4 linked regions of the Struthio camelus genome follow. The protein of the gene in region 4 purifies or fractionates together with the protein of the main gene of each other region. This does not show direct contact. Links are inferred from orthologs where the notes say so. Each region holds a gene or a part of one and is shown on either strand. Other genes may lie near its edges.

Region 1 (7,298 bases), on a different chromosome or scaffold from region 4:
CTGATAAAAGGTAGTAAAGAAAACAGAGCAGAACCTTCTCAGTGCCAGTGAAAGGATAAGAGGCAGTGGGCACAAACTGAAATACAATTAATTACATTTAAACACAAGAAAACCCTTTTTCAGTGTAAGGGCGATTGAACACAACATATTGCCCAGAGAAGTTTTGGAGCTTCCATCCTTAGAGATATTCAAAATCAGAGTGGACAGGGCAAAGCCCTGAGCAACCTGCTCTAGGTGACCCTGTTTTGAGCAGAGGATTCGGACTAGATGATCTCGGAGGTCCCTTCCAACTTCAGCTATTCTGTGAACTCAGCTCAGAAACAATGTACACTTTATCTATTCATATTCTCCTATCTGTTCCACTCTGTAGCGATCAAATAAGTGTACTTCCAGCAGAAATTAATATTGTATTAAATCTGCTGCCAGTATTTTTTTCTTCCCACAGCTGCCAACCCTAGAAGCTTACCAACAGCTCTGAGAAGGTGCTCAAGTATCCTGTGCTTTCTTTTAGATCAGCTGCTTTTTAAAGCAACTGCAGCCCAGCTAACCCTAAGCTGTTACCAATGAACAGCCCAGATAAGATTATTTTGAGGAGTGGCCATCCCTGCTTCCAGGTATTCCCTCTTTCAGTTTTACTGAAAATGGGTTTTACTCCATTGTTTTTGCTAGTTCAGTTTAACAGTTATTTATGCTTCTAAAGATATGGACAAATTCTCTGGCTTCCTGTCATCACTTCTTTATTAGTGCTTCAGCAAAGAACAGGGATAACAATGTTAGCATTCATTTATTTTCAAATCGTAGACTTCCATGTTGTATGCTTCCAGATGAGACTAGCATAATTTCTAACAGTAGGCTTTTTTTCCAGAGCACTGTGGAAAAACAGCTGATAACCTTCTTGTCCTTGACAAAGCAGTAAGGATTTTGGGGGGGGGGGGGGGGGGACAGAGAGAATATGACAATAAAACATTCAAGTATTATTCTGTATACTTAAACTGCTTCCCTAGGTTCAGCCAAATTCACTGTTCCTGAGCTGAATTACTAAAGAATGGCTGAGGCACTTCCACTTCTGAAGTGACCACAATTCAGCTATGGAAAAGGGATTTCCCTTTGCAGTTTTAAGCACTCGTTCACATGGAAGGCACTCTGTAGAACATACTGTAAATGCAGAGCTATTACACAACTATTATCTAGTGATGCTGGCATGAGGAAGTTAGAGGGAAGAAACAGGAAGGATATAAATACAAGTCTACAATCTTTTATATTTTACTCATATCATGGAAAAATACCAATGTCCAAAGCTCTAAGAAAATATCTTAACTACCACACTGGTAGCCATTTAAAAAAAAAAAAAAAAAAAAAAACATTTCACACAAAGCATCTGAATAAACTAGAAGCTCAGAGGCCTAGTCCCTGAGAAACTTTTAGGCACTTGCCTCCTACAGAACTGAGTGGGATTTGATATCAATATACTTTTATGGACTTCAGTCCTAACGTTCATTTCCCCTGCTGCCTTTTCACCTTCATCACTAAAATGGTTTGACATACGACCCACTGCTAGAAACATTTAAGAGGATACATTCAAAAGATTTGAGCAGACTTTGCTCTGGGTTTTTTTTTTTAAAACAACAACAAAAAAGTCATTAAAGGCTACAGGAACAACCTAGAAGTTGAATGAATGTTGGAAAACATCAATAGACATCACTTTTCCTAGGAAATGGGTTTAAGAGTTTCAGTACAAGGGTGTTTCACCCTTTTGCTATTTAAATGTTTAATTTCCCATCACTACAAGCCACATTCCATTCTCTTATGTGTGTTTTGGTTAAGATCTTTGAGGGAAGAGCATGCCTGGGAAATATAAGAATATGTCCAAAATAATCTGTACCTTTTAAATGGCTGGCACCTTGACAACTCATCTAAAGTCATAACCAACAAAACAAAAACTCATTGATCCTCACTGCCAGTAATTTTTCAGGAATGTAACAAGCAAAGCTGTGATAACAACTTGCACGCATCTAAAATGCGGCCTTACAATGATCTTCTTACCATTAAATACCTTCACATTGTTCTGGCTGTGGAAGTACTAGAACACTCTTCAAAGCTATTTTAAAATTTAAGCCTGATATTGTCAGCTTCAAAGCACTTGAAGGCAACAGAAAGAAGCCGTCATACGTAAAACGGGAATCAAGATTTTGTCCTTTCCCTGCTTCTTGGAACTAAGCAGATCGAAGCAGAGAGGGTGGAGAAGGAGGGCATGCACAGGAAGAACGCTGCAAAAAGCACACAGTACTTTGTGGGTGAAAGTGCAGCATGATCTCAGCAAAAAAAAAAAAAAAAAAGTTTACTTTGCATAAACACCTTCTATACATGAAAAAAACGACGATATGCTGACACAAAGGATGCTTAAATAAGTCTTTTGCAATACAGAAGCCTTCTCCTGTCTCCCTCCCACAATCACCGCTATTAAACAGATTTGCTGTATATTCAGCAGAAGACTTCAGACAAAGCTTTCCACTGATTCCTATGCGCATCATCCTTCCAGTTCAACAATTCTTAGAAGCAGTGACCTTAATGCTCAGTGCCGAGTCCTTCATTTGCTTTACAATGCCTAGCTCAAAGCGAGGACCAGCTACGCAGCAGTCTTGGGAAACTACCACCCTTCAAACATTCTCAGCACCTTAACAAACACCCCATGCTTTTACCAAAGCTCTGTCCAACCCTAAATATTTCGCTTACTCGTCCCCACAGGCCTCCCGCCTTCCTCCAGCATGTTTGTCCCTTTATATGTTTTAGCTCATCTCCATCTTTGGGGAAAACCAAGAAACCAGGGAACCATATTCCACTACCACCTCCACTCCCTCCCCTTTAACACGTCTCTTAACAACGCCACGTAGATCCAGCTAATCAGCCGGGACGAGCATTTAGAGCAACCCTCGGGCTGAGAAACCGTGATTCACACGCCCCTACACCCCCTGCCCCAGCCGGACTCCATCCTCACCCCTCACCTCGCCCTGTCACCCCAGCTCAGCCGTGACTTGCCCTCTCCCCCCAACCCCGAGCAGCTCCGCCGGCTCTCGGTGACCCCCGGTTTTGTGGCCGGTGCGGCTCGGGGCCTTCCCCGCTCACCTCAGGGCACGGAGGCCCCCGGCAGCAGCAGCAGCACCATATTCCAGGCACGTCCCTCACCCACGGCGCAGGGGGAAGGGGGCGGGGGGAGGCACAAACCGCGGCGCTGCGAGCCCCGAGGGCCGGCGGCGAGGCAGAGGGCGGCGGGAGAAGTGCGTGTGGGGACCCGCCGCCGCCCCCCGAGGGGCGCCTGAGCCGGGCAGCGGCCGGGGCGGGGGAACGAGGGGGGGGGGGGCAAGGCCGCCGCTCCCGCCCCGCCGAGACGCTGGCCGAGGCTCGGCCCCTTCTCCTCCGTGCGTGTGGCGGCGGCGGGGAGAAGCTCGGCACCCACCTTGAGAGTGGGATACTCCTGCACCTTCAAAGTCATTGAGAGCTGAGCAGCTGATTCCTGCACCGCCATCTTGGACTAGGCATCAACCTCCTCCCTCCTTCCCCGCCCCCCCCCCCGCCCGGACCAAAGGGAGCTACCTACAGCGCGCGCGGCATGACGGGCAATAAAGGCCTTCCTCCTCGCCATCCCTAATGGAGACGGGCCGAACCAACGGTGCTCGCTCCTGCCGCCGGCCCGCCCCCCTCTCCTCTCTCCCCACCCCCCCCGCCGCGTGGTACGCTCCACGGGACGGTAGTGGCGGAAGAGCGACAGCGGGGCAGACAGGCGCCAACCAATGACGGCGGGCCTTCTGCACGTTCCTTTGACACCGCCTCCGCGCTTGAGATGCCACGCCTGATTGGGCAAGCTGTGGAAATGGGCGGGACCGACCGGCAGCGCGGACAAATCAAGTGGGATGACGCCATGCCTCCGGGCGGGACTTTTAGTGGTGATTGACGCGCAGCCGCCCAGCCGCGGTGGAGAGGCTTTCCCCTGGCCCAATCAGAATCTCCTGTAGCCCAAAGTGGGTGGGACCTAAAAAGTAAATTTCGATGGTGACTTAAAACGGCCGTTATAACAACCCCCCGAGGTGTCCGGGAAGGAGAGGGGCGGGACGAGGGGCGGGGCCTATGCGCAGAGCCACTTGACAGGCAAGCGGCCGAGCCAATGGTTTCGCGCAGCCCAGCTGACGGGCACGGAGTCGAGCGAATGGGCGGCGCGGTTGGGGCGAGCGGGCGGGGCGGCGGCGGTGGCGGCGGCCGGGCGTGCGGGCCGTGTGTATATTGGCCGGGGGGAGGGGAGGGGGCCGGCCCCTAGTAAGTTCCGCGGGGAGGAGAGAGCGAGTGAGAGTCAGTGAGGCGGAGGCGGCGGGAAGAGGTTTAAATAGCGGAGACAGCGTGAGTCCCCTTCCCCTCAGCTCCCTCTGCCCGGCTCGCAGCCGCCCGCCTCGGTTTCCCTCCGCCAGCCCGCTGCGGAGCCAACGCTGCCCTCCGCGGCGGGGAGGCCCCGAGGGGCCGCCCTCCCCCGCCGGCTGCGGCCGGGCCGGGCCGGCGCTAACTTTGCGCAGCGGGGCGGGAGCGGCTCCCCCCCCTCCTCCTCCTCCCTCTTCCTCCCCCTTCCCTCTTCCTCCGCCGCCCGCCTCGGCAGCCGGGCTGGTCGCGCCTTCCCTGGAGGGCGGCGAGGGGGGTTGGCGGCCCCCCGGGCCGTCGCCATCGGGGAGCGAGGCCGGGCCGCCTCCCGCGGTCCCCTCAGGAGGGAGGAGGCGGCGGCGGCCACCGGAGGAGCCGCCCCCACCGGCAGCTGCCGCGCCGCGTTATGGGTTTAGATTAGTGATTTTCACCTACCTCCCCCCCCCCCCAACCGCTTTCGCTTGGCCGTTTCCCGGCTGTGTTTGGATGGAGTCGTGGGTCTGCCTCTGGCCGGCTTAACGCTGCTCGTTCGCCCCGGTGACAGCTGTGCGGTGCCTCAGAGGGGTCCGCAGCTCCCCCAGGAGTCGCCGGGTCACGGGATGAAAAGGACTGGTTTAAAGGAGAAGTGAGGGTGCTGGGTGTGTGTGGAAAGGGCCTGATCCTGCCGACCGCCCCGACTTTATGTGTCTGAGGGAATAAAAGCGCTCGTGAAACTGTTGGCTTCTTTGCAGCACCCGGCATATGAGGTTTTGTATTAATCCTCAGAGCGTCGATATAAAAGTTAACGTGGAGAGGGAGGTGTTTTGGGGGTTCAAAACCGCATGACTTTCGTCCTCCTCTTTGGCATCCTGCGCGGAGTTTCTCACCGCCTTGGTGGGTAAGACGGAAGGCGCTGTGTGAGCGAGACCGCGGAGGTGCTGGGTGTGCAGCGCAGCACCGCAGAAGGGGTGACGTACCGATCGGAGGTCGCGCGTGGAGCGCTGCGACCTCCTTTCTGATGTCGTCGAAGCCAGCGACAGAGTTCCCCTTTCTCGTGAAAGTTCTCGCCTTGGTGATGGGCTATGCTTTAGGTAGTGTGCTTTTGTGGGTTAAGGCTTTAAGAAAACCCCTAAACCTTTATACACTAGTAGCTGTGATATTTTTGTTGTCTTTCCTAAACTTTGTGGCTATGTTGCTTCTGGACTGCAGAAGACTGTAGAAAAAGAAACACAGATATTTCCAGAAAGGTCAACACACTTTGATAGTTTGAGAGAGCAAGGCTTCTTTAACTAAGACATGTTTGTAGAATATTTAGTAACGTTCATTTCTAATTTACATAGGGCCAGTTGCACTGAAAACATGTATCTGGCACAAAGGGCTGATGGTGAATAAAAGAAAATGCGTGAACTCCTGTAGCTGAGTGTTCCCTTCAGATCTGGACTGCAAACTGTCTACTTGTGTTTACTCTGAGCTGCATTGCTGCCCTAGCATTGTCTGGTATTGACCATAATCAGCAAATGTATGCCTAAATGTAATTTGCCAAGCCCACACCAGGTGCAAAGCCTTTGTTTAAAAGTATATTGGTAAAATCATTTGTATTAGTTGCACCTGGGTTTGACATTCATGCCTAGACATGATCTTGGGGCCAGATTCTGCAAGAGGATTTGTGTAAGGAGGATTTTGACTCCATGAGGGTGCTGTGCAGGGGATGGTTTACCTGATCTCACTGAGTGGAGGACTGGAAACTTAGTTCAATTGGTGCTGTGTTTTGCAGCGTGCTTATGTAGCATTTTAAGATCTTCATATTGTATTTGCGTAGTCTATTTTAAATAGTCTGTAAATAGAAAATGTCCTTCTAAATATTAGCTTAATATTCCATATCATTAATGTTACTAAACTGCTTGAACTTGGCACTTTTTAACTCTTTAGGCCCATGTGTAACATTGGTAGTGATTGAACATGTGTGCCTTTCCATGTAATTTACTAAGTTGTGTATATTTATGTCCAAAAATCTTATTCACATCATATTTTTGATGGGTAATATCCTCAATGGTGCTCTTCGATAAGAGAGTAGCTAATTTAATGTAGCCTAAATAAGAGATGATTCCTTTGGTACAGTTTTGTGCTCAGACTGGGTCAGTCTTTACAGTGGAGAATTATTGGTGAAGGTTTGTCAGACATTAGTAGCCAAAGTTGAAGGGTTTGCCTAATGGAACAGATGGCCAAGCAACCATCATGTCAGAGAAAACAGCATGTATTCCATGTATTCTTAGTTTAACACAAGAGGGAGCATGTCTAATCTTTAACCTTTAAATATTGCAACTTCAGAAAGGAAGCTTTAATTGCTGAGTATCAACTAATTTATGCTCTAGGTTGCGTGTGCAAATATTGATACAATTTATGCATATTTTTGGCATATTTTCAACATTAGGTCACAGCTGTTGATTTATAATACAAACGTTGTCATGGTGAATGTGCAGATTACAACTAGGCTAACGATCTTCTGAACTTGTTACAATTTGTAGTTTCCTGATCAATTTAACAAAATATTTATGGTTATTGTAGGGATTCATAGAGATTATGAATCTCTATTTCAGATAGAGAAATAGAGATTTCTCTTTGTATTTTAATGTTAGATTAATTAATATATTTCTTCTGCTTAACCTACCATACAAAGTTACAAAGCCCGGGTTTAATTTAATGTAGTTAAATTACCAATTTAATTTTGCTTTTACAGCTTTTGTAAATTCTACTGCTTTATCCTTAAATAGGAAATACAAATTTTCATCTATTGAGAAGGTTTACATACCATATTTTGCTTTTTTTCTCCCTGTCCCCTAGTGGTGTACAAGAAGGAATAACAGTCAACTTCCATTTTGTATCTCTTGGCGTTGTCCAGTTGAGCCATAGTCTATTAA
Region 2 (7,882 bases), on a different chromosome or scaffold from region 4:
TCCTAAATATTTTACCAAAGCATCAGTCATCCCTTCAACACATGCAACTATTACTTGTATTACAGCTTCTTCTCCTGCATTGAGTTTGGCGTAGAGATCATCCAAAGCCACGGAACTGGAAATGCTTTCCCATTCAGCACAGGCAGCTAAGACTGTACAGACGGATTATTTCAGGACATCAACTACCTGAGGAGGTACTTTGCCAAGACAAAATACCCCTGTATTACTTCAGTTATTTTGGCTAAACATCATCAGTACTGCTCTTTGCGGGAGTTAATCTATCTCACTGTAGCTCTTCCCATCATACAGAGACATTCTCATTACAAGCCAATATCCGAATCCTACAGTGAATTGCAGAAACAACATACAGAGGAAAAGCTCTGCTCATATCAGCACTATCCCAGCAAGATGGAGGGGTCCTTCTTTATTCATTGCATTTCAGAGTCAAGGCCACAAAGCAAAGTGACCCTACCACTTCAGAACCTTCCCGGACTTTTTAAAGCACAAAACATGATCTTAATTTTTGTAAAGCTGTACCATAGGTAGCCCTTTCCAGGGAAAAGTCACATTAAGCCTCACAAATACCTCTGTTTCCTGCTTCGTTGTGGTTTAGAAGTTTCTTCGTAAGGGTTTTGAAATACATCCAAAAATATTGGTTCAAACTTTTTGAAAATCACAGTTGACACTTCAAAATTTCTCTCCAGCCTCTCTACTCGCTCTCGGAACTCCTGTGGTAGATTTGACATGTCCATCCACTTTTTCATTTTGCTAAAAAACTGAATTAAACTTCAAAGAAAAAAGAAAAATCTGTTTTATTTTGAGCTTTAACTAAGTGTATTTATTCTGTGAATTTCTGACCAAGGCAAAATGCCTTTATTTTGATGCACTGCCAAACTGTACACGTTGGAAGCTTTTAGCTTCTGTATTTATTCCTCTTGACTCTCTTGAAGCCACAGACATGGAAAAACCTTACTCGCATTCAAAGGCTGCCAGCACAGCAACGCTGGTTAAGGGAGGGCTACAGACGGAAAGAGCGTACATAGCTACGCGACTGTTAAGGGGGAGGGAGGGGAGGCAACAAAAACATGAGTCCATGCCTATCAAAGCTACCTAGACAAAAAAACATTAAATGCAGGTGTAATTACAGCGGCAAAAATCCCTTTGGCAGTCCAGCTGAAAATGGTTCTTTAAATGGAACATGAAATTCATTCATTTCAGTTATATCATTGGTTACAATTATAGTGGCAGCATCTATGTAAGCAGAGCTATCTACTGGAAAAACCTTGAAGCACATAAGTATTTATGCAATCGCGCAGTTCTGCGTCCCCAAAAACGCCAAACGACATAGCAGTCAAGACCGAATCTGGCAATTTGGCCTAAATCCCGAGTCAAATACAGGTTTTATCTGGATTACTAATGAAACATTCAGAAGTCTCAATTGTGTTTCAATTAACTACAAAAAGAAAAAACCCAACTCTGTGGGTGGAACAACTGTTAGTCTGATGTGGGTGGTTTTTCAAAGGATTGAAGTTGAACTCGGAGGGAAAAAAAAAAAAAAAGTATTTGCATCTTATTTCCATTTGTAACGAAAGAGGATTTATTGCTTTTACAACGTTACCTCGGGACATGCAAGTTTTGCAGTGCTTGGAGTCTTGACAAAAATAAAAGCCTGGGTGCCTAAATTACTAAGCATACGCTAATGGAACAATAAATTACTACCTTACATACTGGAAGAGTCAGATTCTGGGACTTCCACAATAAGTAACAACGTGAAAAAATTAACCTTAATTTGGCCGAACGTAGTATCCTGGTCAGCGAGACGCAGTTTCCTTCCATAAGGCCGCTTCCAACGGTCGGAATGACGCTCTTGCGGCAGGCGACGTACAGAGCGCATGCCAGCCAATGGACAACTTCTCCCTGCCAAACCACAGCAAGGCACCAGACTGCTGAGCCAGGAAAGGCTGCGCTCAGCTTACACCTCAGCTTTACAGAGCCTCCAAAAACCTCTGGTGACAATAACGAGAACCAGCATGTGGGGAGCTGGAGGGCTTTCTTCTCCGCACGTTTTGCGGAACTTATACAAAAACATATATCTATGCGCATACACATACACAAGGAGGTTACTGTTCTGTTTTTCCATTCAACTTGCAATAATAGAGAGGGCAGAGGATGTATTTTTTGAAAGAAAAAACAAAAAGTACACAGTGTAATTTGGCCACCGAGGCTAATGCAACAGCTGACATCTTTCAGACTCCTCCGGATATATTTTCTAACTGAGGATTACAGTAAGCACATGCCCATGTGGCTGAAGAGAAACGAATTTCAAGTAGAACTAATGAGTTCTTAAGACCAGGTTTTTGCAATACGCTTTCCCATTGAAGAGGGATTAGGAGATAAACGAATAGTGTATTGGCTGCATATTTGCCACCTAAATTTAAAGGGCGGTTTCAGCACCCAGCCACAGCCGAATCAGCTCCTACCAGCAGCGGCTTTTTCTGGGCGTGCAAATCTGTTTCATTTGTTATTTGACGAGCTCACACTGGCCTCTGCGCTCTAGCGCTCACAAGCGACGGCGAGTCGGAGCCACAGGAACCCCCGAACTGCTCCTTCCGGCCCAACCGCGGCAGCCCGGGGCGGCGGCAGGATGACAGCGGCCCCGGGCCGGGCCGCGCCGCCGCCGCCCCGCCCCGACCCACCGCGTCCCGGTGCCCCCGGGCGCGCCCGGCCCGCGGGCAGCGACGAGCGCGCGAAGCGCCGCGCCCCGGCGGGGCCGGCCGCCCCCGCGGCACCCGCTGACAGGCGGCGCGGCCCGGCCCGGCCCGGCCCCGCCGCCCTCACCTCCAGGCTGTAGGTGCCGCGCAGCGCCGTGAAGTCGCGCAGCGCCTCGGCGGCGCTGGCCGCGTCCAGGTTCAGCTCCTGGCAGAGGCGCTCGACGGCGGCGCCGGGCTCGGCGGGCGGCGGCTCCGCGCGGGACATGGCGGGGCCCGGCCCGGCCCGGCCCGGCGGCTCCGCTCCCGCAGGCCCCGCGCGCCAACTCCCCCTCACCCGGAAGGGACCGGCCCCTTCCGCCGCGCCCCGCCCTCTTTTGGCGGGAACGGGCGGCGGGGCGGCGGCCGGGCCCGGCGGCGAGGCGGGCGGTTGCTGGGGCGCTCGCAGCCCGTCCCGGCGCGGGGCCGCCGCTCTGTGCCCGCCGCTGCATTACCTGCTCGCAAAACGAGGATGTCGTTTCGTGGCAGCTTAAGGCAAAACAGTGTTAACGTGCTGTTTGTTATCGAGGTAATGAGGACTACCGGTTCCCGATTACCGGTATTATTAAAATCAAAACGAAACGTTCTGCCCTCTCTCTCGTTCTCCTTTCATTCATTTATTTTTTGGCAGGTCCCACATTCACAGGGTCTTGCGGCAAGCTGGTTCTGGGACGTGATCTTGTTACAATTTTTTTTTTTTTTGGTTGGGCTCATCTCTGCCTGAATACAGCCCCCAAAGCGGCCGGCCATGCTCTGCTCGACTGCCAGCGCCGAGGCGGGGAGCGGGTGGTGGGGCGCGGAAGGATTTTTAATTGGCTTAAGCTGCTGGGAAGCTGTGACCCCAGGGAGAAAAATGGGATGTGACGGACGAGAAAGGCGCTTTCAGCTGCTGCAGTCAGCTGTCAGCAGATCGGAGGGGAGGAGAGGGGCTGGGCTGGGGAGTTGCCGGGGGGACGCGACTGCTTGGCCACCTGCAGCATCTCCGGCCCGTGGGCCGGGAGGGCAGCAGGTAGCGTCTGGCAGATGCCGCGCTCAGCCTCCTCGGCCAGGAACCGCAGAGTGTCCCCAGGGCAGGACGGCGGTTCCTGCTCTCTGGGGCCTCGTGACAGCAGGCAATGCTGGTAACGACGCTGCTGTGGAAAGCTGGCTAGATCGCTTTATTTTTCAGCATTGATGTGGCTGCATTCATCGATAGCTGTTTGTGCTATTTTTAAACGGGCTGACTACAAAGACCAGCAAGAAACAGTTGATGACTTTAAAAAATATTCCCAACATCAAGATATGAACGGGCGCCAGGCAATCCGCCTCAAACTGGAGGGATTTTCTAGCAAATGTGCAGCGAAACAGCTGGCAGAAGTAAACGCAGGACCCGCCCCCGTCCTGCGAACGTGGGGTTACACGTAGGGGGACGGGGGGCGGCGGGGGCCCGGCCGGCCACCGACGCCGCCCGGGACGGGCCTGCCGCGCCACCGCAGCGCCGGGCTGGCAGGCGCGCTCTGTGGAGATCAGAGCAGCTTGGCGCTCGTTGCCGAAGGTGGAACGCAGGTGTCCTCTCGCGCTGCGCTGCGCTTCGCTCCGGGGTTGCGCTGAGGCTTTCTCCGTGGAAGCGGAAGCACAACGCGCGGGCAAGTTTGCGCCAAACAGCAAGACCGTTTCTTCCTTCTTCATCATCACCGGTCTCGGTGTAACGCTGCTGTGCGGAGACGCCTCCGTGCCGGGCTTTCCGGCTGGCTGCAGTCGCTCTCTCTAACACCCTTTGCTCTCAAATGGCAAAGATCCTGGGGCACCTGTGATCCCACTGACCTTTGTCTTCTCCTCTTTACCTGCCGAAACTCCAGGGGTATTTCATGCCGTCACCTTCGCTGTGATACGAAATGAACCGTTTGAGAGACCTGAGCCGCATCCTTGTTTGTATACCCCACCTTGGGTTTAAACTGGTACTATTACCGCTGTGGGGAACGATTAATAATTTTGAAAGAACTAAAATAACAAGCATATTTACGCCTTATCGTTGAGTGAACCTAAGAAGTTAGCCGGTAGGGACAGGCAACCACACAGGGACAGGTGAGCCACTATATTACTGTTGACTCTCTGCCCACTGAGAAAACCACAGACTTTGTGTCCAAGCCGCTGTTCAGGAAAGCAGGAAAACACTGTCATTTCACGGGGGCCCTGCTTGCCATGCTTGCAACCAGGGCCGGAGTCTGAGGCAGGGGAGGATGCACTAACTTTCCAATGAGAGGGGCGGGCGGCTTTTAGGGAGCAAAAAGAAAGAAGACTAGAAAAGAAAGTTAGAAACGTCTCAGGGTTTGGACAGCTTGTCCTGTTTGAAAGCTTCCTTAAAAGTGACTTAAACTCATGAGGCCGATTTTAAGCCACAGTAGCTGCAGCCGCTCTTCCCAGCAGCCGTGCTGGTGCTGCACCAGGAGAAACCGGCGGGCGAAGGGGGACGAGGTGGGCGCGGGGTGAGCTCCGCAGGCTGCCCCGAGGGCTGCGCGTGCCGAGGAGGGGGGCTAGGAGGGCTGGGGCTGTTTGCAGCTGAATTTGGGGCTTACAGGAAAGAGAGGGAAGAGCTGCTGAGGACAGTGAGGGAGGGATGGTCACAGGCAAGGAAGGAAGTGAAACCACGATCAGAGAAATGAATCTGAGGGATGTTCAGTATCTGGCCGCATCAGTGCTGACAATTCAAAGTACTGCAGCACAAACATTTATGGTACATCCAATTAAGTTCAGTCGCTTTTACAAGTAGAATGAGGGCATTTGGCCCCTCAGTAGAGATATAAACTGGAAAACTGCTCAGGTAACTCCAGTTTCCCATCGTTCAACTGAGCACAAGTTACCTACTTTGTAAAGCGTTCAGCCCCTGTTCTGCGGTGCCTATAAACATGTTTTTGAAAGTTATTCCCATTTGTGGGATTATTCATAGCTTTAGAGTTAAGCATGTACTTAAATACTTCGCTGGATCAGTGGATCTGAGTGCATGTTAAATTTAAGATGTTGAAGCTCAGCGTTCTAATCAAATTTCAGTCATAGGATCAATTCCCTTTAATTTAGTTCAAGTGGAAATTCAGAGGCAGAACAAAATTGCCAATTTGGCTTAATTAGTCACAGACTGTTAGCATTAAAATAGCACTAATGGCTGAGGTACTTCAGAGCACTCCAAATATTTGCTGGGAATATATTATCCCCATACAGGCTTTCAAGTGCTGTGCTGGCTCCCAGCTGCCTTGCGGTGGGCAGCAGCAGTCCCCATACTGGGTGATGCTGCGCAGCACACCTGTACCCCATGTAAGGGTTTTGCAGGCCATTAGGCATGTAAAAGTACATTTATAACCCTCCGAGCCAAAGGTTCCAGTTACAGGTATTCGGCCTTTTATAAGGTGACAAAAAAATTATTGGAGACAGCGTGGAGTGAGCATGACTTCTTTAGCTGGGAGCTAAAATACCCATTTGAGATGGAAGGAGGAGACCTGTCTTTCAAGCCCCTTGCTTCAAGACTACTTGTGTTTTTAACAGTAAATGGTCCGGTGCATAAAATACATCTTCATGCGCTGGAATAGGGCACCTCTGGAGCCCCAGCACCCCTAGAGCAGGTTACCAGCCTGATTAAGTCAGGTCCAGCAGACGCGCTTCCACATCATGTTAAGAGTGCCTCCCACGCTCTTCCTCACTAACTCGTGAAACTGCTGTTCATGAGCAGCTTCAGCAGTACCAGCCTCAATGACCCCCTGCGAGGAAGCTCACACAGCAGCTTCTGACCTGCCCTAATTTATGATGGGACAATTTAAAGCAAACAGGTGCTGACTTTAGTTTTTATTGAAACGTTCGTCTGCAGAGTGCAGAGGCCTAGGCACCGTTTTATGAGAAGTCGCTCTAGCTCTGCAGCAGGAATTACACACAAATGGCAACGCAACAACTTTGTTTGCAGTTGCCACATAGATTGTTCCCACGCAAGAGTTAATAGTCTTTAGTTACCTAAAGCTGTCAGTACTTTGGGTAAAAAAGGAGCCACGCTATAGTAGAGCCTGTTTCTCACTGAAAATCGGTTCAACTTGGAGGCTTTTGAAACTGTTGCTTAACCTAAATACTAGCTTTAATCCAAGCACCTACATATGTTTGAAAAAGATTTGCTCTCAGAGAAAGAAAAACTGAATGCCATGAAAATATATGAGAAGAGCATTTACTCTGATAAAGCAGTTTACTAATCAGAATCCCACAGTCGTATTTATTCCTCCGGGTACAAAGAAGCAGAAGGAAAGGCCTTCTATGAGGGGACCTGAGTTTTTCTTTTGTTTGATATATACATCTGCTCGGATATTAGAAATCTGGGTTCTTTTTCTCAAAAAATGAAGTTAGTCACTGTGGGGGCTTTTGCTTTTAAAATTTGTCTTTCTAAATGGTAGAGGCTATTCCTGTAAAACGCCTCTTTTTGCTACAACATATCCAAGATACCTGTCAGATGAAAAACATATTGGTCAAATGCTTTGCAGGAGCCAAGACAGATGACAAAACACTTTGCAGAGCATGTGCTGCAGACTCCCACTCTTCTCAGATGCTCTTGCAACACAGACTGGGGCTATTCCTTGAGAATTCCCCAAAGGATGGTGCTATTCTTGTATGAGCCGATACCTTCACCTAGACTAGTTATTGGAACTTGGAATGCCAAGCTAAATCACTAACGTATCGTGCTTATCCAGAGCACTGACAAATAGAGGCCACTTAATTGTGCCAAACTGAGCCATTCCAGTCCCCTTTTGTTAAATTCAAATTAGATTGCAAACGGTGTGAGACAGGGAAATGCAACTGATTTTCTACTGGACTGGAGTTCTTGGGTTACTTTATGCCTTTTGGGCTGAGAGGAGCTGGATTCTCCAGTTATTAACGGCTGCTTAGCACCACACTGATGGTCTTGAGCTACCCTTGGGTGTGCAGTGAAATTGCCAGTTCCCAAAATTCACATAGCGGGAAGTGGAGGATGGTGCCCCACTGGCTTCTGGGCCAGCTACGCAGTCTGAAAAGGGCACTATGTGGACAGCACAGGAAGGGAAAGAGGTGACAGAGTGGATTTCTCTTACCACTAATTCTCCAGAGTTGCTATCCCCTTCTCAAAGCCGCTGCTCCGTCTGCTTCTGTCC
Region 3 (7,110 bases), on a different chromosome or scaffold from region 4:
TAAGCCCCATGGGGTGTTGCTACCTGTCATACAATAGGCATAGCACAGCAAAAGTAAATAATTTTTACTCAAGCCCATAGACATAATGACAACCAAGCTTTAGAAGCTTTCACCACAGCTCAGTTTCAAAATTTTAACAGTGCAGGATACGTACTTTGGTTCTCTGAGGAAACGGGAACTTCTCCCGCGCATTCAACATACACAGGCAAAATTTTCCAAAAGAAAAAGTGATTCATTTTAAGCCAATAAATAGAGAAATGCCATGTAACTATTTTTACAGCAAAAGCAGGCTCCGGAGAAAGGAGAGGTCACTCTTTTTTGCAAGTATTTGTTTAGACTTCATCTTTCTGGGAAAGGAAAAGTGTTTATAAAATATAGCGAAAACACAGGTGCCGAGAAACCACTGCAGTTGCAAAGTACAACCAAGTGAATCAATCAGGTTTTAAGACAATATACAATAAAAGATCCATGCATTACACAAACTAGTTAAATTTTTGCCAGCTGAGCCATCCTGAAACAGTTCTTTGACATGCAAAAGCAAGGACTGCAAAGCCAGTGGAGATGCAGGTACAGCTTTGTCTGAAGAGATCTGAAAAGTATCAGAAGTTTTACCAGTTACTCCTGCCACCTCCCCATCCCCTTTTGCAAAGCAAAAACACAAACAAGAACAGATTTTCTTCTCTTTCTTTCCACTCAAGTCTTTAACTAAAATTCAATTGCTCTCCTACCAGTTCCACTTGTTATGGCTGATTTCCCTTGATACAATCCAAAAGGTATCATCACACAGCAACAAAATCATATGGACGTCCACAGTATTTCCAAAGCCAAGGAGAAAGCTAGGAGCAGTGAAAATTTTTTGAAAGACTCTTTTTACATCGTATTTCTCTATTGACCAGCCTTTATCAGCATTATTAATTGGGCATTTTGTTACAAAATTTTGCTTCAAAGATCTATCAGTGGGAAACGCAGACAGTGTTGGAAAGGTCTCAGAAATACACTCTGAGTACTAAGAAAGGACTCAAACTCCTTTCTTGACCCACACTGGATAGTGCTTAGATAGGCTTCTTGCAAACTTGCAGCAGAGATCCACGTGGAACTCACCTGTAGATCAGGGCCTTAAAAATAAGAATATCCAGCTTTCATGGATAGGGTGTGGGAGCTTAACTATACCAAGTGTCAGTTACTTTTGAATTTTCAGATTTATGGAAACTTAACGTATTTAGAATTCCTTCAACTTCCACCGAAAAAAAGCATAGTATTTTCATTAGTAAGAAAGGTTAAAATTAGTTAAAAGTAAAGGAATCACGCACATGATCTTTCATAATGTTCCTACTAGAGTAGGGCAGACATTGACATACAAGACTTCACCCCCCGCCCCCAAGAAACCACATCCCTGCTGCTCAGGTGTAAAGTACAGCACTTAAAACACTGCAGTGGGGACGGCCCTGAAGAACCTTAGTGCTAAAGATGACAGAGCAGTTGTAACTTCTCACAAAGAAGCTGGAGCAAGCTATTCTGAAAGTCTGATGGACCACACACTGCTGCACCAGGCACCAGTTCATAGAAAGGGAGATCGTGAACATGACAAGCAGGAAGCACTCACACAACTAAAGCACGTGTGCGGGGAATGTCCCAACAAGCCACCACAGTACCAGCAATTCCAGAGCCCGGAGTTCAAAACCTAATTTCTAATATTCCCCTCTAAAAACATGGTCTTCATTAACATGCCAAGAGTTCAAACATACATAGTTTGAGCGCAACTTGGCCAAACACCATTTCTAGATATCTACTGGTAGGTAGAGTGTTACTCCTGAACATCAGATACTAGTACTAGCTACAAAGCTTTCAACTCTCCAGCAAAAATAAAAAAGGACTAAATAATGTTAGAAAAAACATATGCAACACAAGGTATTTGACAGACCCATCATACCCATTGCTTTAGCTCTTCAGCTCCGTCTGAGGACAAACCAATGAGTAATGAAAGTATATGGCATACGTATTCTAAGACATGGCATGCATTCCAGTTCCCCTTGAAAATGTACCAACTTTCAGGCAGTTGACAGTGTTCACACTACGGGGATGATAAAGAGCACTGGAATGTAGCCAAATGTTGTCTGATGAAGCCCCTTCCTCACGCAACCCTACACAAAGGTTAAACTGAAGTACCTGTGACATTTAGACCCCATCTAGAAAGGGATGAGTAGTTTTCAAGTCACTCAAACCTCCTGTGCTTACCTACTCTGCTTACCTAGGGCACCATGTTAGATTTTGAAGGCGTGCTACAGATGGTATAGATTAGCCCCATTTTCATATGCAAGTTTCACTTTGGACACAAGAAAGAGTGCAAAAGAACCTACACAGCTTTCCAATTTCCAATTAATTTCCAGTTTTCCAACTAATTCAATGCATTTATCCTTTATGTCCCCCCCCCTTCAGAGTTACATTACAAACAAGTAGGTTTAAGAAAGGTCAGCCTAAAACTAACGGACTCCACCACACGCTTCAGATGCCCTTTTAAAGTTTAGAAGTTGAGTTTCTGAACTGATAAGAACAGAACAACGCAGCCTTCCTTCACATCGGTCATCTCTGAAGTGCTTAACGCATTGTACTTGTTACAGTATTTCCAATATACTAAATTGTCTATACACCAAAACACTTTCAGAAGTCCTCAGTCACCGTATTTCTGATGACAAAGAGGGTGGATTGTGCATACTCTATCCAAGCGACACGCTACGCTCAGGAAACGGTATGTTCTAGCTAGCGAGAGTAAGACTATTTCAGCATAAACAGGATCAAATGGCATCTTACTGAGCTACCCTCTGGCTATTTCCAGGCTGACCGCTCATTTCAGTTAGCGTTAAATAACGCAAATTCCACCTGGGGAACTCCCAAGCCCTCCGATGAGGGCCCAGAACAAAGTTACCCCGTACCTCCGCGCCGCGCTCCTGTGCTCTGGGAGACTCGCCGCTGACGCGCTAGCAGCTTGCACGGAACCACCTCCCAGCGGAGGCACGGTGTGTTTCAGGGTACCTGAGCCGGGCACAAGCTAGCAGCCGGGGAGCGGCATCCCGCTCGCTCTCTCACGCTACCTTCGCAGTGAAGCCAGCGCCAGATAAAACAACGTACCTTGCTCCGCCAAGGAAGGGCTCTTCCGCGCGGGTTACGCGGTCAAGGCGGCTGCTGCCGAGCTTTCGGCGTGTTTGCCAGCTAAACAACCCTCCCCCCACACACGCGCGCGCGCCCCGGCCCCACCGCGGGACGCGCCCGCGGCCTCCGCCGCCCCTCAGGCCGCGGCCTCGGCCGCGCACCGCGAGGCGCCCGGGCGCCGCAGCTCCGCGCGGCCGAGGCGCTTAGGGGGGGAAAAAAAGGAAAGAAAAGGGCAAAGAAGGGGAAGGAGAGGAAAGGAAAGGCAAACCCCGGCGCCGCCGCGGCCCCGCGCCGCCACATGGCGCCCGGAGGGCGGGGCGGAGCGCAGCGGCGCGGCCACGCGGGCGGCCCCGGCCCCCCCCGGCCCCGCCGTACCTTGTGGGGGGGCTGCCGGCCGCCCGGCGGCGCCCAGGCCAGGCAGGTGCAGGCGGCACTGAGGTGGGCCGAGGGCACGTACTCGTGCTGCAGGCGGCTGCCCGCCGTCTCCCACACGCGCAGCCGCCCATCCGCGCCGCACACGGCCAGCGAGCGGCGGTCGCCGGGGGAGAAGGCGCACGGGGCCCGCGCCGCCGTTGCCGCTGCCTCGCTGCTGCCGCCGCCGCCGCGCGCCGCCGCCATGGCGCTCCCGGCCCGGCCCTCGGCTCCGCGCCGCTCCGCGCCCCGCCGCGCCGGCGCACCAGCGGCCACGTGCTCGCGCACCGCGCACGCGCGACCCCGACCCGACCCGACCCCCCCCACCACCGCCGCAGCCGCCGCCGCCACCGTGGCGTCAGCGCGCCGCGCCGCGCGCCGGAAGTGACGCTGCGCCGGCGCACGCGCGCCGTGTGTGGTGGAGACGGGCAGGTGGGGGGAGCTGCTATCCGTGCCGCCGCCGCCGCCGCCGCCGCCGCCGCCGCCGCCGCCCGCAGCCGTTAGCGGGGGCGGCTCTCAGCTCGCACCTCCCCCCACACCCCCCCCAGCGCCTCTCGGCCGGCGCCATGCGGGCCTGGCGCGGCCTGCGGCGGGGCCCCGCGGCGCCCTCCGGGCCGGCCGCCGCCTCCTTCTCCTGCTGCCCCGGCGGCGGGGAGCAGCAGCAGCAGCGGCGGCGGCGTCGCGCCTGGGAGACGTCCCTGTCGCCGCTGGAGCGGCTGAAGCGGCTGCTGCCGCCGGAGGTTGAGGCGGCGGCGGCCGGTCTGGACGCTGGCCCGGCGGGCGGCGCGGGCCGCGGCCCCCTGCGCCTAGGGGAGCTGGCGCTGGCGGAGCTGGGCCGCGGGCAGCGCGGCGCCCTGCGGCTGCTGTGCCGGCTGACGGCGGGCGCGGCGCTGGCCACCCCCCGCGGCCTCCTGCCGCACGACGACATCGTGGGGCGGTTGCCCGGGCAGGTGGTGCGGGCGGCGGGCGGCGGGCGGCTGCTGGTGCGGCGGCCCTCGCTGGAGGAGTACGTGCTGCTCATGGCGCGGGGTGCCGCCATCGCCTACCCCAAGGTACCGCCGCGCCCCGGGCGGCCGCCGCGTCTGCCTCCTCCCGCAGGCTGGTAACGGGGCGTGCTTTGTAACCCGCAGGATGCGAGCGCCATGCTGATGATGATGGACCTCCACCCGGGAGACACCGTTTTGGAAAGCGGCAGCGGATCCGGCGCTCTGAGCTTGTATCTGTCAAGAGCAGGTAAGGCCCTAGGTTAAGCAAGCGTAGGAGCAACGAATTTCTTCCGTCGCTTGCTGCTTTTCCATTCATCAAGATCTTGAAGTCTGTTTTTCAGGCTTTGCTGCAGTTTTCTTATTTGTATATACTCCATTGACTTAAGGTAAAATTAGATCTGTATCGATCCACTTCCTTACCTTTCTCAGTTTCCCTTTTCTCACTTTGCTGGACCACGTGAATAATCAGCGTGTTGGCGTGCTGGGTGAAAACATCTACATGGACACACAGTGTTGTTTCATGTTACACCTAACCTGATTTGATCTGGGTGTAGGTGCTCTGAAAGGTAGAGAGCCTTGGGCCATGCTGTCCTGCCCTCTCCCTTGCACTTCTGCCGTCTGAATCTGTTAGTTAGCAGCTGGTTTGGAAAGCGAGTCTGGCTGAAAGCTATTCTTTTCCTTCCTCTAGATCGTAGGTTTAGTTTCCTGCCAGTTTCACTCCCTGAGTAAATTCACTGCAGGGTCACAGGAGAGTTGGCATTTGCAAGGGAAAGTGGCAAGCAAATGTGATTGGGGTAGTAAAGGAGCAGAACTGCTCCTCTTGGCAGCACCCAACTCTTAGGTGAGTTTTGTTCTAATGGGAAACTACACCCTTAAACTTCATCTCGCCTGCAGTCATCCTGTGTAGTGCCAGTGGACCAAACTGCAGAGTAATTTGATTGATGGGCTCCTGATAACTTCCCCAAGAAAAATAATTTGGTATTGATTTCTTTGTTTGCTGCTACTGTTTTTGCTTACACCTGAGCATTAAAGTATCGTTTGAATCTCTTCCAAACTGGTATTCTAAAAATTATTTCTGCTGATGCACGATACTGCCCCTTCCCTGCACCGTTAAAAGGAGCTATGAGGGTAAAGCCAGGAACCCCATCATAGATCATCTTAAACTGGTATAACCAAAAAAAAAAAGAAGTGGAATTTGCATATCCTGATGGCTATGTTCAAAGACAGGGTTTGTGGACAACCCACCATCGCTATAACTAAATACTTGAAGTTGCCAGCCGTGGTCACTGAACCTGAGAAACACCCACCTATCCTGAGCTTATGTGAAACCTCAACACTTTTTTTTTTGTGTGTGTGTGTTTTAGCATTTTTCACCGTTTGGTTACAAATCAGCATTATAAATTATGCTATCTTTTTAAAATGTTTATGGGTTGAGCTGTTTTTGTGATCAAACTTGGTATCATTCAACACTTCCAGATTAAAAAAAAAACCCACTTTCTAATACTTCCACTTCTAATACTTTCTAATATCTATGGGAAGTGATGCTTTCTCTCCCGCCTTCTCATGCGAGAGACAAACTGAACAAATCACCTTTTTTGTTTAAGGCTGTTAAATAACCTTAGAACGTAAGGGCAGTGAATTCACTTTCTTTTACTCTCCCAGTTGTCCAACTGTCTTTCTACATAAGTTCTGGGATAACAGCACAAGTTGTCTTAGCAGCATCTTCGGAGGAAGCTTAGTATTGAGCAAGTATGTTACTAGGGCCACCTATCCAATTCTCTTCTGGGATGCCAGGATGTATTGCTGAGGATAAAATCAAAGTTAGGAAGAGTTATGCTCAGTGAATGGTACAAACCAGAGTGCTGAGATCCAGCCGCAGCTGAAAATGGGCGTATCTGGCAAGGGCACACCAGCAGCAGAAAAAGGGAATCTGGAGGACTCCCTGCTGGACAGTTTGTTCTGCTCAGTCCAATTGTTTTAGCTGCAGTAAACTTTGTCTGGCATCCCAATTCAGTTGGAAACACTATTTGAATGGTAAGACATTAAATGCTGCCCCAAACTCACTCAATTGCAGGTCGTCTTGATGTATGTTGGGCCCAGGTTTTGAGGTTAGCAGTTCTGCCTCTGGTCCGTCTCCCTCCTTCCACCTCCCACTACTAATCACAATTTCTTCCTATCGTCTTCATATGATATGTGTTTTTTTCTGTGATTCCATGGTGGGATTTTGAAGATAGTATGCCATCATCCTCAAAGCAACCTTTGCTGCCTTGGAGCTAGAAACAAACAAAACAGAAGAGGAAAGTCACCACTTTACTTTCCGGAGATGTATTTGGAGAGAGGGGAAATAGAGCCATTTTCATCTTCTCCCATCTTCCTCTATGTGCAGACCCTACATCCGAAGGAAAAGACATACCTGTTGTTTGCTAATGCAGAAGTTAGCTTTTGCTAAATACAGCAGACTAGTTACTACATTGGATGTTCGCTACACTGTGGCCGTTTCATACAGACTCACCTGCACTTGCAGATAGTTTCTCTCCTTTTTCCGTGTTGCCTAATGGGTTCCTTC
Region 4 (7,204 bases):
TTAATCTCTTTACTCCGTTTCTTTGATAAAAGAGAAAGTAAGTAGGTACACCTCTTTATTTTATTTATCACTGTAGCCATCTGTCATGCCTTATCCTATTCTTCTTTTAGATGACAAAATCTATATTTTCCTACCCAATACCAATAATAACCATCAGTACTGGAACTCTTTGTTTCGACTGCATACTTTCTGTGGTAGTCCTGTACCTTTGGAAGCTCTTGGATTCTCTAAGTTCCAGTCACAGCCATTTCTATACTGGTCCTAAGTCTACTTTGTTCATAGCATAGATATAAATGAAGACTAAAAATAGAGGAAAACAGGAAGGATTATATTTTTCAGTGTAATCATACTGAAAGACAGGCAGAAAGAGAGATAGTCAAGGAAGGTTGACTTTAAATTTCTGATTAGGATAGTACAATGCTTTGAATGTTCTATATTGCTTCACTTTGCACTTATTGAACTTAGAGAACCTTGTACTGTTTTGTTGTTTCTTCTGCATTTGTTCTGTTTTTCTAATCTGTCGTATATTTTTTCTCCTCTTTCAATTTTATTTCTCTCAGATCTTATTTCTCCACACTGTACTCTTTCCTCCTCATTTTTCTTTTTAGGTACTATTTTTTCTTATTTTGTCCTCAAGTTTTCTGCTTATTGTTACTTTTTCGACCCAAAATATACTGTGTGTTCTAAGGTCAGAGTGTCTGTTGGGCAGAGAAAACCAAGTATTTCTTAGGAGGAAGTCTACTTGATTATAAAGATGCAAAATCCTGTTTTAAAGTGTGACACTGAAACGCTGTCTAAACCATCCTTAGGTTTTTGACGGAGAGTAAAAAATATTGCAGAACTGGGAAGAAAAGGATTATCAGTCTTTCCTCTCTCAGTCTTTTCCTCTCTCTTTCCTTTTTTCCTAAAGAAAAAATTGTAAGATGTAGTAACTCCTCATTATGTGGAACGAAGCAGAAGTTAGCAAGTGTTTGGATCCCCTTCTTCTGGATCAGTCTCTCTCTTACATATTCTATTTCAACTACTTCTTTCCAAAGCTGATCTCTTAGGAGCTCTAGGTCTCTTGCTGTCTGTGTTTACTTTTGGCCTATTGCATGGAGTTCACCAGCAAACTCAGCTAATGTATACCCTCATCTTCTATCCCTTATTCCCCCTCATGTCTGTCTGTGGAGTACCAATGTTTCAGTTATTCCACAACAACCATTTGTGGGATATGTTACATAACAGATCAGGGAGCTGATCTGGTTTTAAAAACAGAAGAAAACTTAACTGCTTGCAAGCTGAGAGTCTCTGCTTGGAAGACCGTCACTTCCCAAACGCTAGACCCAACCTTTTCTCTACCTGCAGCACAGAAGAGGACTTCTAGCTACTAGTGATGAGATAAAGCTCTGTCCTACTACCAGCCTATGTGCTAGCTTTCCAGGTGGGCAGGATTTTGGTATAATCCCAGCCTGGAAGGCCCTAAGATCTCTAACCCTAGACAACTTACCTGCAGTAGAAGACACAAGACCTACTCCCAATACATATGGGCAGACAACTCCATCCTGATGCCAGCTCTCACCCTAGATCTGTGGCTGGAGCAGGATTCTGGTAGAATTCTAGTTCATGGGGGCCTTGTTCCTTAATTTTAACCATTAACAGCTTCAATGCTTTTGAGCTGTTGAGTTACTGAACAAAAAATTTTGTAGACAGTTTGTGTGTGTATGTATATGTGCTTTTAATGTAATGGACATTTAAGAGAAGACTATTGTACAAGAGAAGAATAGTGTAGGTTATTGATTATCAAGATTATAACAACAAAACAAGACTATGTAGTTGTTATATGCTGGGCAAAAACAAAAAAAAAAAAGGCCATCCCCTTATGTCCAATAGGACACTTCAACTTTTTCCTACACGCTCTGTGTGTTCTCAGCTCCAGTTGCCATATACCCATCTCTGCAAGCTTGGCTATAGCCAACAAAATAAAAGCAGAGGATTACAGAGCAAGTGCACAAATGCATGAGAATTCCGTAATCTGTTTAAGCATTAGCCAAAAAAATTATAAGTTGTTACATGCTGTATAACATAATGTAATATAGTAAATGCCACAGTATGTTTGTATGAGCTTTGTAGCTACCCACACTGAACAACAGAGCTAATCTTCCATTGCATTTTTCTGCTGCTCCATGTCACCATCCAGAGTAGCAAGGAGATTTTAGCAAGATTTACAACATCCTGATGGGGACAGACCTCACTGTCACCAGCGTATGAGCTGCCCTTCCTTAGAGGTCAATTGGACTGAGCTTACGCAAGACAACTAATGCTTTCTAGGTATTTTTGATTTCTTGTGCAATATACCATGCACGCAGATATCTTAGGACAAAATATGACAATATTAACATGGGAGTCTTTTGAGCAGAAGCAGGTGAATCTGTATGCCTTTGTTACACTGCAGAATATGCATGTTGGCTTTCCTCATCCTGGGGTAAGAATTGCATTCTGATCATATTCTAGGGAAGAAAGACGTGTAGCTTAAAGTGACCTCTCAGTCTTTCCAGGAGTGAGGGGAATGAGAAATGACTGCTTAAACCCACTTAAACCATGCTGCTCCTGAACACCTACCATGGCTTTAAGGTGCAATTTCATGGATGACTTAACTTAACCTAACCCCATGCTGTTACTCAATGGGCTGGTCCCAGGCTTCCCTCTGCCGTGTGTTCCTGCCCTATCCTAGCCGTACAAAAGAGGTTTTCCTGTTTTCTGTTTTGTCAGGGTCGGTGTGTCAATTACTCTATGCTAGCACTCCTGTTGCTGTAGAAAAGACACAGAGGGACTAAATAGCTAGAGGTGGAGAGGGTGGACTGCTATTTTCAACAGCAACAAATTCTTAGCTCAGTTGAACTGCTTGTAAAACTGCATTTGTACAGCTATGGTTAGATAATTGGGGACATACTACTTTGGCTGTTACTGCACCTACCTTTAGCTCTGAAATTCAGAAAGAAATAAGGAAACAGAAGAAGAAAAAGTAATGGCACAAGTGTTAGTAGTATGTCCTAATTTCTTCAAGGGGCAAGGCTGACTGTGAACTAAAACAACAAGGTTAAAAAAAAAAATCAGGTGTCAGAATTAAAATACTAGATGAAGGCCACATTTTACTTTTTGGATCTTCATGGATGCTCCTGGGGGAAAAACAAAAAAAAATCCCTAGCGTAGATTTACATTAGTAGTATACGTTCCTAATTCCGGTCCGTAATAAAAAGTGGAATTAAGTCTTCCCTCAAGAACCCAAGGCTCCCTTCCCCACCACATACCCACAGCGTGAGTGCCACACGAAGCAACACCTTTTTAAAATATTTATTAAAAAAAATGAATATATCTATATTTAAATACATCTTTCAGTGCGAGATGGAGAGGAACCCTGCGCCCACCAAGCCCCCATGACAGCCCTCTCCCAGCTCCGAGCAAGGACACCCGCGGCCACAACGCCCCGGGCGGCCCCCGTCCCTGCGGGGGGGCGGCCAGGCTCCCTCCAGAGCCGCCCGGCCCGCCGCCGGGTTTAGCCCCTCCGCAGCCGGGCGGGCCCCGCCACCTGCAGGCCGGGGAAAGCCCCGCCGCACCCGCGGCGTGGAAGCGGCTCGGGCGGAGAAGCGCGCGGCTCAGCGCGAGGCAGCGGCCGTTACCGTTACCGGCCTCGCGGCGCGAAAGGAGCGGCCGCTGCCCCTCCCCCACCGCCTGGGGCCCCAGAGCGCCGGGGCCATCCCGGCCCGCAGCGGCGCGGATATCGTCACATGCCGGAGAGGCGCGGGGGGGGGGGGGGGACGAGGGGAGGCGGCAGTTGCCCCGGCGACCAAGCCCCGCCTTTTACCCGTCGCTCTCTTCCCCACCCTCCCCACGTCAGCGGCTGTCTCCCGCCCGGCCCGGGTGGGGCGCAGGGGTAGCGTGATTGACAGTTGCCATAGTAACAGGCTCGCCCTCGTCGCCATTTTGTCAGTTAGCTTTTTTTTTTTTTTTTCAAAAAAAAATCCCACCCTTCCCGCCCGAATTGTGGAAGGTTTTTTTTTTTTTCCCCTTCCTACCTCCACTTCGAAAAAAAAAATTATCAAGCAAGAAAACGGAATTCCCTCCCCCCCCCCCAAAAAAAAAGAAAAAAACAACAACCCAAAAAACTGTCTTGGAGGGCCCGGCGGCGGCAGGCGAGAAGTTCGCCCCACGCGAGCGAGGAGAGGCTCGAAGCGGCGGCAGCGGTGCGGTGCGGGGCCGGCGCAAAGCCCTGGCGAAGCCGGTTCTGGAGGGAGGGGGGAAGAAGGAGGAGCGGGCGGGGAGGGAGGGAGGGGGAGGAGGTAGAGGCTGGCAGGCGGGGGAGGGAAGGAGAGAGGGAGGGAGGGAGCGAGGAGTTCCCGGGGGCTCGGTACGGCGCTGCGCTTCCCCCCCCCATCATCCCCTCCTCCTCCTCCTCCTCCTCCTCCCCCCGCCCGCTCGCGCCCGCCCGCCGCTGTCCCCGCGCTGCCTGGCCGGGGCTCAGGCCGCCGCCGCCGCCGCCGAGCCGAGGCCGGGCCCTGCCGTTGCCGCCGCCGCCGCCGGGCGCTGCGCAGGTTTGGAACGCGCGCCATTTTGTGAGCGATAGAAAATCCAACCCGGCCAGGAAGCGTCGCGGATCCGCCCGCCGGGCCGGGCCGGGCCCCCTCTCCCTCGCTGTCCGCCGCCCGGAGAGGAAGGCGCGCTGCGGGCAGCCCCCGCGGCCGCTGCTGCCCCCCCCCCGCCCCCCCCGCACTCCGAGCGGCACCGGCACCGCCGCCAGCCGCGCGGGCCCGAGCGCGGCGGGGCGGCCGGACTGCGGAGCGCACAAGAGGGAGGCGCTGCCGTGCCGGGGCCCCTGGCCGAGGCCGGGGGAAGCGCTCGCTCCTCGCTCTGCGTGTGCCCGCCGCCCGGGAGAGGAGGCCGGAGCCGGGCGGCAGCCAGGGGTCCGCCGCCCCCCCCCCACGGGTAAGTGAGACGCCTCAGCCGGTGGCGGGGAGCTGCGCAGCGGGACGAGCTGGTGCCACCTCCCGGCCCGGCGCGGTCGAGGGGGGCGCAGCGCAGGGGGCAGCTCCGCTGCCATCTTAGAGAGAGGAGGTGGGGAGAGCGCAGGGGCCCGCCGAGCCCCCGGCCGGAGCTGGCAGGGCCCGGACCCGCACCGGGCTTTGGACCCGGCCTTCCCGCCGCCTTCCCTACCGCTGCCCCCTTCTGGGGAGGGCCGGGAATGGCCGGGGGCAGTGCTGGCGGCCTCTGCGCGGCTCGGAGGCGGCGGCCGCCTCTGCGGCCCTTTTTCCCCTCGGCGTGTAGGGGAGGCTGTCGCTGCCGGATTGGGAAGCGGAGCGGCGAGGAGGGTTGCGGGACCGGAGATGGAGGAAGGGAGTTTGCCTGGCTTCTCTCGCTCTTATGCGCAACGCCCTGCGGTGGGCGGGTGCGAGGTCTCGCCCCGGTCTGGGAGCAGGGAGAGGGGGCGAGGAGGGTGTCAGGAGTTGAACAATCAGCTGAGCAGGCACCTGTTGTGGTGGAGGCTTTAGGTGCCCCTGCCTGCACCCCTGCAAGAGACTCGCGTGGTAGGTGGGGAACTTGGAGGCCGATGAAGAAGGAGTACCTGTGTATGATTACTGTCATCTGGGCTGGGGGTGGGGTGGGGTGGGGAAGAGGGGAGAGAAGCATTGGGCATATGCACACGGGCATACAGGTGCTTCTGTATTTTAGTGGTTGCCTGCAGTCTTGTAGGAATTCAGCTTTGTGTTGCTGAGGAAATTAGAGACTGCATCTGAAACATAGAGTGTGCTCTCTGTGAAGTGGCATTTCCTCCTGCCCCCCCCCCCCCCCCCCAGAATCGGAATACACAATTAAAAGAACTACAATTAGGAATTTTGAAATGGGTGCGTTTTTGAATCTCAATCAGCTTTGAAGTTTTCAGTTTAGCCTGTCCAAAGACTATGCAGGGGTTCTTTGATCATGTGTCTAGATTGCTGCTGTTACTTGGTTCTCCTATTACTCCACAGTTATTGGGGGAAATAAACATTCATTTTTCTTTAAAATTAACAGAGAGTATCTGACTACAAAATAAATCAACAAGCATGTTTTTGACAATCTACCATTTTAATCATGAAGAGTGTGTCCTGTTAACTTTTGCCAGTAGGCACATGCAGTCACTTTTACATGAATATAATATCCCAGAGATCTAGATAGGTAGAATTTAATTTTTTATTATTTTATTAGTATTTCAGTGTCCTTTCCCTAAGAAAAGGAGTGTAAAACTGAAGAATACATCAATGATGTCTGGCGACAAATAGGCAAACATTTTGTTTGTAGTAGCATTCAGTTATCTGCCTGTAACTGTGTATAATTTGACTTCTGTCAATGGAATAGTCTGTAGGCGTAAGAAGTTTTGGAAAAACTTGTTTCTCCTTTTCTTGCCCTTTACCCTGACATCTGTAGATTAGATATTTTTGGAAAATTTTACTTAATACATTTAAAATAATAACACTGAAATTAATTTTGAATATGAGCTGGTATTTTTCTGTTAACTATTAGCCAGATATGTTTAGTGAACTTTGGGGGGGGGGGGTATATAGATATATACAGAGAGAGACTACTTTTGTAGGATATGCTTAATGTTTTTGGCTCATATGAACTATTTAGAATTACAACTTTTTTATTTACAGTCTGAAGTAGAGCGTGTTGTGTTAAATTTACATTTTCTTCTGTGAATTAAAAATTCCGGCAAAGTCTCCAAGACTTAACAGGTTTAATTCATTGATTTTGAATATTCTTTGAATAAAGTAAGAAGTCTGTCTTGTTCAAAATTGAATACAGAACATAGTCTTAAATCAAGAAAGAGGACAATTCACACTCTTAAATTATTGTGCACCCATTATAATTGTTTCGAGGCTAATAGAAAGTTTTTTACATCAGTAACAATGTTGAAGTTACTGACTCAATACTTAGGAAGATTTTGGACTTGTCATTGGAACCCCCCTCCTCCCATGTTGGACAGTTGCAGAGAAGCAGCAGCAAGGATAATTTTACCAAATAGCAGCCAAGAATTTTCAACGACAGTTTATGAGTAGTGTTCTATTACTTGTGTAAAATAATGATGTAGTAATCAGGAATTTATCAGTTTTTAAAGTATATGGGTTTTGTTGAGAGTGGGAATTTACATATGATGCTCATAAATGACTTATCGCACCCATGTTAAGTTCAC

What was found.
Region 1: the proteins of DYRK1A (region 4) and CTBP1 purify together in Homo sapiens (affinity purification with mass spectrometry; 4 studies listed by BioGRID and IntAct, with this or other methods). This does not show direct contact. The link is inferred for Struthio camelus from reciprocal best matches to the Homo sapiens genes DYRK1A and CTBP1.
Region 2: the proteins of DYRK1A (region 4) and RBL1 purify together in Homo sapiens (affinity purification with mass spectrometry; 3 studies listed by BioGRID and IntAct, with this or other methods). This does not show direct contact. The link is inferred for Struthio camelus from reciprocal best matches to the Homo sapiens genes DYRK1A and RBL1.
Region 3: the proteins of DYRK1A (region 4) and TRMT61B purify together in Homo sapiens (affinity purification with mass spectrometry, with the first as the bait; 3 studies listed by BioGRID). This does not show direct contact. The link is inferred for Struthio camelus from reciprocal best matches to the Homo sapiens genes DYRK1A and TRMT61B.

The regions. Positions count from the first base shown.
Region 1 is NC_090945.1:79,520,082-79,527,379, forward strand, and holds the start of CTBP1 (C-terminal-binding protein 1), read left to right. Parts: upstream 1-4,281; 5' UTR 4,282-4,389; intron 4,390-7,298. Other genes in the region: E3 ubiquitin-protein transferase MAEA, read right to left, coding at 3,455-3,523. UniProt on the Homo sapiens protein: Corepressor targeting diverse transcription regulators such as GLIS2 or BCL6. Has dehydrogenase activity. Involved in controlling the equilibrium between tubular and stacked structures in the Golgi complex.
Region 2 is NC_090959.1:872,779-880,660, forward strand, and holds the start of RBL1 (retinoblastoma-like protein 1), read right to left. Parts: upstream 3,018-7,882; 5' UTR 2,977-3,017; coding exon 2,839-2,976; intron 1,918-2,838; coding exon 1,784-1,917; intron 787-1,783; coding exon 586-786; intron 1-585. UniProt on the Homo sapiens protein: Key regulator of entry into cell division. Directly involved in heterochromatin formation by maintaining overall chromatin structure and, in particular, that of constitutive heterochromatin by stabilizing histone methylation.
Region 3 is NC_090944.1:123,417,282-123,424,391, reverse strand, and holds the start of TRMT61B (tRNA (adenine(58)-N(1))-methyltransferase, mitochondrial), read left to right. Parts: upstream 1-4,109; 5' UTR 4,110-4,124; coding exon 4,125-4,610; intron 4,611-4,688; coding exon 4,689-4,791; intron 4,792-7,110. Other genes in the region: WDR43 (WD repeat-containing protein 43), read right to left, coding at 3,523-3,765.
Region 4 is NC_090942.1:122,405,400-122,412,603, forward strand, and holds the start of DYRK1A (dual specificity tyrosine-phosphorylation-regulated kinase 1A), read left to right. Parts: upstream 1-4,203; 5' UTR 4,204-4,223; intron 4,224-4,789; exon of another isoform or gene 4,790-4,962; intron 4,963-7,204. UniProt on the Homo sapiens protein: Dual-specificity kinase which possesses both serine/threonine and tyrosine kinase activities. Exhibits a substrate preference for proline at position P+1 and arginine at position P-3.